Caenorhabditis elegans: one gene and its partner. The protein of the gene in region 2 purifies or fractionates together with the protein of the main gene of each other region. This does not show direct contact. Each region holds a gene or a part of one and is shown on either strand. Other genes may lie near its edges.

Evidence for each region.
Region 1: the proteins of metl-17 (region 2) and mltn-2 fractionate together in Caenorhabditis elegans (co-fractionation; one large-scale study listed by BioGRID). This does not show direct contact.

What each region holds. Positions count from the first base shown.
Region 1 is NC_003279.8:11,022,976-11,026,730, reverse strand, and holds the start of mltn-2 (MLt-TeN (mlt-10) related), read left to right. Parts: upstream 1-2,137; 5' UTR 2,138-2,234; intron 2,235-2,564; 5' UTR 2,565-2,577; coding exon 2,578-2,709; intron 2,710-3,286; coding exon 3,287-3,485; intron 3,486-3,531; coding exon 3,532-3,656; intron 3,657-3,755.
Region 2 is NC_003279.8:14,838,233-14,841,987, reverse strand, and holds the start of metl-17 (Methyltransferase-like protein 17, mitochondrial), read right to left. Parts: upstream 2,057-3,755; coding exon 1,976-2,056; intron 1,919-1,975; coding exon 1,821-1,918; intron 1,774-1,820; coding exon 1,203-1,773; intron 1,149-1,202; coding exon 1,059-1,148; intron 557-1,058; coding exon 90-556; intron 1-89. Other genes in the region: F32A7.8 (uncharacterized protein), read right to left, coding at 2,850-3,071.

The sequences.
Region 1 (3,755 bases), 3.8 Mb from region 2:
TTTGCAGGCCAGCCGCGACGCGACCGCAACGCGCGGGCTCAATTTTGCAGAGATGCCATTTGGTTCTTTACATAAACATGAAAATTTGATAGCACTAAAGGATCCAAAAATTTTAGTTCTAAAGGCCCACTGTGAGTCAAATTACGACCTTTCAGAGTTATCCAGCTAGCCGCGACGCTACCGCAACGCGCGTTCGAAACTTTAAAAGGGTATAACTTGGCTCCCTCTTGACCGGAAACGTTGAAACATTTGTGGTCCACTGCAATCATTTTGTTCTACAATTATCATTATTTAAAAGTTCGAAATATGAATTTTGCAGAACTTGACAAAAATTGAAATTTATTTATTTCCAATTCATATATTAAGTTTCGATTACCAATTATGTTTTCTCACTGCTCCACAATTTTCAGCACTGTAGACCCGTTTTGAGCCAAGTTACGGGCTTCCAAAGTTCTCTCGCCAGCCGCGACGCGACCGCTACGCGCGGCCTCAACTTTGAAGCTGCGTAACTTGGCTTGCAATAATCGTAAAGATTTGAAATTTTTGGAGTTTACGTATACCATCTTGATCTCTTAGTAAAAATACATTTTTTAACTCTCCAACTGCTCCAAAGCTCCAGGCTCAAAACTGTTTTTTCAGTAATTATTTTCAACGAAAATACAAATAGTAGTAGTAGTAACAATTAATTATCCAGATTCTAAACTCTATGATAACTGACAGCCAAGTTATTCGGCTTTAAAATTTTCACGCCGCGTTGCGGTCGCGTCGCGGTCCACCCACAAACTTTGAAACGCTATAACTTGGCTCCCAAAGGTCCTAGAGCTCTGAATTTTTTTGCAGGCTGTTTGGAATCTTATACTTCTGTTAGACATGTTTTTTTTGTAGTTCCGCATCACCAACCCACTAAGATCAAAAGTGAAATGATAGCGGAACACCGGTAATGACTCACTTTCATGTACTTTTCCACGCCTTTCCTCTTTCTGCGAAAAAGGTTAATAGCCCCTTTCCTCTCCCTTTCCTCACTGATTACTTTTCATTCGTATTTATTCTCAACTTGACCTCCACTTCCTTTTTCAGATGATTCTTTTTCTGCTGGTACTATTCCACGTGGCACTGGCGGCTCGCGATTCCCCAGAAGCCTCCACTCACCTGAAAACTCTACTTGGTGACAGTACTCCTATGATAAATACAACACAGGATTCGGTTCTGGATCTTTCGAATCACTGGATTGAGCAAGCGGTCTCTGCGTTGATGGCTACGGTAGCTAATGAAAAGTGAGTTGGTTTTTATGGAAGCACGTAGCAAAAATTTGGGAGCTCCAGGCCCAGTAGGAGTCAAGTTATGAGCACTTGAAGTTTGGGTCTGAGCCGCGACGCGACCGCAGCGCACGGGCCAAATTTTATTTTTGTTTTCAAATATTATACATTTTGTAATAGTCAAAAGATTCACTGGTACGTGAAGATACAGTGGCAAAAATTTCAGAACCCTGGGAGCAAAATAAGCCAAGTTATTGGGTTTAAAAGTTTAGGTATGAGCCGCGACGCGACCGCAACGCACCACTCAAACTTTGAAGCTGCATAACTTGGCTCCCAGGTGTCTTACAGCTTCGAAATTTTTTTGTGTAGTTTAGTGACATTGAGGTTTCCTTAAAAAAATCAGTTTTTAAATTAAATTTTTGACTGTTTTTCAGTTTCCGGAGTGGTAAATTTGTTGATGATTATATTCCTAAACTTTATTCAATTCTGAATAACCATATATTTTTTTAAGCTGCTTCAAAAAGTTTGAGAGCTCTAGGTCCACTTTGAGCATAGTTATGAAGCTTCAAAGTTTGGATCTGGACCGCGACGCGACCGCAACGCACTCCTCAAACTTGGAAGTTGCATAACTTGACTCATAGTAAACCTAAAGGTTTGAAATTTTTATAGTAGCTTCACAAAATATTACGTGTCGTGATAAAATAGTTAATGTTTCCCTTGACCGCGACGCAACCGCACCGCAGCTCCAAAACTTTGAAGCGTGAAAACTTGGCCCTCAGTGCTCCTAGAGCCTCAAACTTTTTTGGAAGAGACTTAAAATTTAGTATTTTATCTAAAATTAATTTTTAAAAACCTATTATACATTTTGTTTCCAGAATCTCCTCAGTAACCCAAGTAGAAACGCGTATTCACGAGAAATGTGTGCAAGCAGATCACAAAATCAATTAGGACGCTAAAAAACAAGAAGGAGGAGAGGGGGTGAGTTGCAGGAAGTTTCCAGAATTCCAGAATTTTTTTTGAATGCATAGAACTTAGGGACATAAAGATCCTGAAAAAATTTCAGACCTCTAGCACACCTAGGAGCCGAGTTATGACTCCTCAAAGTCTGGGGTGGAACCGCGACGCGACCGCGTAGCACGGTATTAACTTTGAAGTGGTGTAACTTGGCTCCCAGTGATGCTACAGCTCTGAAATTTTTACAGCAACTTTAAATTGTGAATCTCTGTAAGCCTGTATGTTAGTTGTTGAAAACCGCGACGCGACCGCTTCGCACCCCATAACACAAAATTCACATTTTCTGCTTTTCAGTTGGCGTCAAATTATGGTTGACGTGAAGAAAACAGGAGACGTTATTGAAAAGCGGAAGAAAGTCAAGGAGATGCTCGGAAAAAGTGTGCGATCAAGATCCGTAAAGCCGAAGGAGCTCCGGATGAGCTCAAGGAAACCATTAGCGGTGGGTGACTACAAATTATTTACAGAAACTGAGCTCAACTGAACTTGTATGCTGAAAAAAGTTTCAGAGCTCTAAGACCACTGTGAGCCAAGTTATAGAGCTTTAAAGTTTAGAACGTGCGACGCGGTCGCGTCGCGGTTCACTTTCTAACTTTGCGGCTTTGTAACTGGGCTCCCAGTGGCCCTAATGCTCTGAAATTTTTGGAGGATATTTGTGCGTAGTAGATTTTTCAGGCGAATTTTGTAAATGCGACTATATGATAAAACTTTGAGATTTTCGATAAAACTCAATTTTTTTCAAATTTTTGGAATCTTTGTCACCAGCAAGCTCTCTACATCTTCCTTGAACCGTGCAAAAATTTTCCGGATTTCTTTGTTTTTTGTACCCAAGTTATTAAGCTTCAAAGTTTGACCCACGCGTCGCGGCTGCGTCGCGGCTTGCCACCAAACTTTGAGGACCTGTAACTTGGCTCGCAGCTTATATATTGATCTGAAAATTTTGCACAAAACTCATCCAAGCCCAGGCTCTCTATTTCACAATTTTCCAGGAAAAAAAAACAAAACTGTATAATTTCCAGAGCTCCGACTACGAAGCCTTCGATGACCCAATTGAAGTGACCAATGAAATTGTTGAAGCGCCAAAGCTCAGCGCGGAAGAGCTTTTTCAAAAGATTCAAGAGCATCCAGAAGAGCTCCTTAAAGATGACCCACCGGAGCTCCTAAATATGACTGGAAAAGAGACTGAAGCAGTTCTCAGGATTAAGCTTATCAGGGAGGGTGAGTATTAAATTAGAAATAATTTTAATAGTTCTGAAATTTCCAGCGGTAAAGCTAGGTTTAAGCCTCGGAGGGCAGAATGTCAACGGGTTCGATCAGAAAAGTTTGAGATTTGCGTCTCCTCGATTCTTTGCAATTGCTCCAGAAGAGCACAAGATGGATAATGATACGGTTTGTTTAATAAAAAATTGAAAATGTTATTAGAAATTTTGCCTAAAATATTTGAAGTCTCTAGGGCACATTGGACCAAGTTATGACACTTTAAAATTT
Region 2 (3,755 bases):
ATTTTTAAAAATCGAAATTATGTGGTTTTTTTTTTCTCCATCAAAATATACAAAACTTGATTTTTTTCAATTTAAAAATCAATAATCACTTTTCTGATCTGCGTCCATCGGCTCTAATAGGCTGAAATCTTGTATTAAATGTACAAGAACTGTGTACTCCTAGAGGACAACCCAAATCATGAGGACATGGAGCCAATACTGTAGCTGTCGGAAGCATAGTTGGTACTGTATGTCCAGGTGGCACTGCTTCCATCAAAAGTGCATATTTCTCATAATCACTCAAATTGTAATCCTCAACGATGCGAACAACTTTCGGTGATAGCATCACAGCTTCTTCTAGTGATTTCAGCAATTTCCGATAATCCACCAGAGTTCCCTGTGTCAATAGAAAATCACGAGCCTCGAGAAGACCACCGAAAGCTCCGGTTTGACTGGATTCGATCAGGATTAAGAAGCGATTTGTTCGTTTCCATAGTGATTCGATCAACTGGAGACGAGTTTCTGAAGAGCCAATTTCACAGAGCACGCGGTGAGCTAGCACAACATCGTAGGTGGTCTGGAAATTCAAGTTAAGAAATATGATTTGACAAGAAATAAACTGTTAAAATTGCGAAAAAAATAATTTTTTTCGTTTTTGCAGACTGGGATGTCGATTTTTCGTTTCTCGTAGTTTAGGAAAACATTTTTTTTTTAATTTGCTTTTTTTGGAAAAAAAGTGAACGAAAGAGGGCAACGAGAAGCGAAAAATTCTGAAAAATTTTGCTTTTTCCAAAACAAAAGCTTTCATCCGTCATTGCTCAACTAGGGGTAGATTTTGAAAAAGAAACGTTTTTCAAAAAAAAAACTAAATTTGAAGATTATTAAAAGAGTGTATTTTTAATTGAAAAAAAAAATAAAATTTCTGCTTTAATCAAAGCGATTTTCTAATTAATTGAAAGTAATTATCACAAAATTTGCAAAATTTGTAAAATTCGCCAATTCGGTAGTCCGAAAATTTTCTACGTTTTTTGCACTTTTGCATTTTCTGAATTAATTTAAAATTATATTGATGTGCATACATTTAATGAAGGAATCAAATGTCGCCTGAAATTGACATTGTTGTGCACAAAAGGCCGCCCGTTTTGAGAAGCTTCACTGGACTGTTCGTTCTGGAAAAAAAAAACGTCATTATCTAAAAATAAATCTTCTAAAAGAATACCAACCCTCAAAGAATCCATCGAAAATTTCATCATAGCATCCGATAAATCCACCATTGTGATTTCCTTCACATCTGGCCATTTGTTCTGAATCGCCCAGAATCCAGCGCCAGCTCCACTTCCGAAATCCAGAACAGTTTCTGGTTGAAAATCGGGGATAGTATTGAATTCTTCAAGTGTTCTGGTGATTTCTGCATAGTTTGGGGCTAATCTTGCCAGAGAATAGGCAGCAGCAGATTCTTTTGTCGTGATTTCTAGAGGTTTCCAATTGAAATTTTCTTTTTTCATTATCCGATCCACTTCATTCCGTATTTCGTATTGTTGAGCTTCTTGCACTTTTCCACCGAACGATTCCTTATCGAAATCTGATATTTCATCCTTTTTTCCCGATTTCAACTTCCTTTTCACTTCATCTCTGAGCTTTTTCAGTTTTTCCGGAGATTCTGGAAACCTTCGTTGTTCGAGTTTCTTTGCCAGCTGATCTGCTTCATTTTGTAGTTGTTTTGCCGGTCTTTCACAAGTAATAATTGCATTTCTGAGCCCATCAATGGCTTTTTGTGGCAAATTGAATTCACGTCTGAAAAACCTCTTTAAATGTTTTGGAATTACTACTAAAACTCTCACCGAAATCGTTTCCCAACTTTCTCCTTTGATGTGATTTGCACAATTGATCGAGCATTGGTGAGCGCATTCACTGCAGTGATGGCGGTTTTCTCGTTGTTCTGAAAAATACGCGAAAATCTCAATTTTAAGTGATTTTATATTATTTTTTCGTTTACCTCAAATTCTCGTGGCTCGAATGCTGATGATGTGGCAAAATTTGCAATAAAATGTCGAAGAAATAGTCTATTTTGAAGCATTTTAAGTGAAAATTTGTGAAAATAAAATAAATTAATTTTGTGCAACGACGCTCCGAAATAACGCACAATTTTGTTGGCGGTATTTCAAATCGGAATTTTTCATCAATTTTTTTTCTGAGTATGAGAAATGATACTAAATATCTATTTTTCGATTTCAATTGAATTGAGATGGTGAAGTTTACTTTTTTGAATAATAACTCATTTTTTATTCTGAAATGTGGAATTTGCTCAGCCAGTGTACTCCCCGAGGGAAGTATTTTACAGTTTCGAATGATCCGCTGAAATGCTTGGTTTTTGGAAGATTTCAAATTGACAAATTAAATATCGTTAATTTTTGAAACTTCAAGCATGATGAAAGCTTCTAAAAACTAGTTTTCAGCTTTTTTTTAACGCTAAAAGCATATAGGTTTCATCTTAAATGTCATATAAAAATTAGAGTTAAATTAACGATTTAATTGCTAAGTTTTTGAGTTGATTCAAAACCAATCAGTCAAGACAAAACTGTTTTAAAACTCATATTTTTCTCGAGAAGTACACGAGCTGCGTAAATCGACAGACGGCTGTGGTCATACGGCAGCTCAACTTGCAGCCAAAAAACCAGCTCATATGTTTTGAAAATTGAAGAAAAAAAGCAACCAAACTATTTATACTTTATTATTAAAGCTAAAATACGCTGAGAATGTTTTTAAACAGTTTTATTCAATTTTGCAAAAAAAAAAACAGATGACAAAAAAGAAAACTGCTTCTTCCAAAATTGAACGTTCTCCAAAAAATCGACCAACGGAAACTACATTTATAACGGCCCATACTCTGTCACGGTCATGTTCGGATTGTGCGGTTTGGTCATCACCACGTAGATGACGAATCCAGAGAACGAGATACAGGCGGCTGTCATGATGGTGAGACCGACTATGACCTTCATGGGAAGAACAATTCGTCTATACGGATTGACAGTTGGTTGTGCAGTATTCGGGGCTTCTGGAGCAATCGAGTTGGCGCCGATTCGGCGTGGCATGTGGAAAATAAGATTTGAATTGAGAAATTAAAGAAGAATACAAGAAGTGTCACGATATAGTTGTAAGGAACATTCAGCTTACTACGAGGCATAAAAATGCCTACCTGCTTGCCTACAAGTCTTGAAGATGCCCTAATAACACTTTAAAGGCGCACATTATTAGCATAACTAGATGTCAGGTCGCTCATGGAAATCCGAAAAGGGAGAAGAAGAAGAAGAAGAAAAACGTGTGATCTATCAAAATATGTCGAAATGAAGAATTCTGGTTATCAAAATAGCATTTTATACTCGTTATGATTGCAATCATCCCCTCGGGTCTTAACGTGTGATATGTTTAATTAAAATTTGGATGAAGAATTAGTCGGATTCGAAAAATGAGTAAACAATGAGATCACAACATCGAAAATCAAATATGCAAAGTTCAGCAAGTACAGAAGTCGTTTTTAGAAAAATTCTTCAGTGTATATTAATAAGCTTGTACTGACAAATAGTAGTCTTCATGACGAACTATTCTTTAGTCTTGGATAAAGATAGAACGCAATTAGTCCTGGTAGTGGTCATGATAGTTTCCAGAACCTGAAGTTCAGAGCCCTGCAAGTTGGAAACATGGTTCCCAATTCTGATCTCGGCTTAATTGCACTTAATTGCACAAACGCACGTTTCAAGAATTTTTGAAAACAAAAA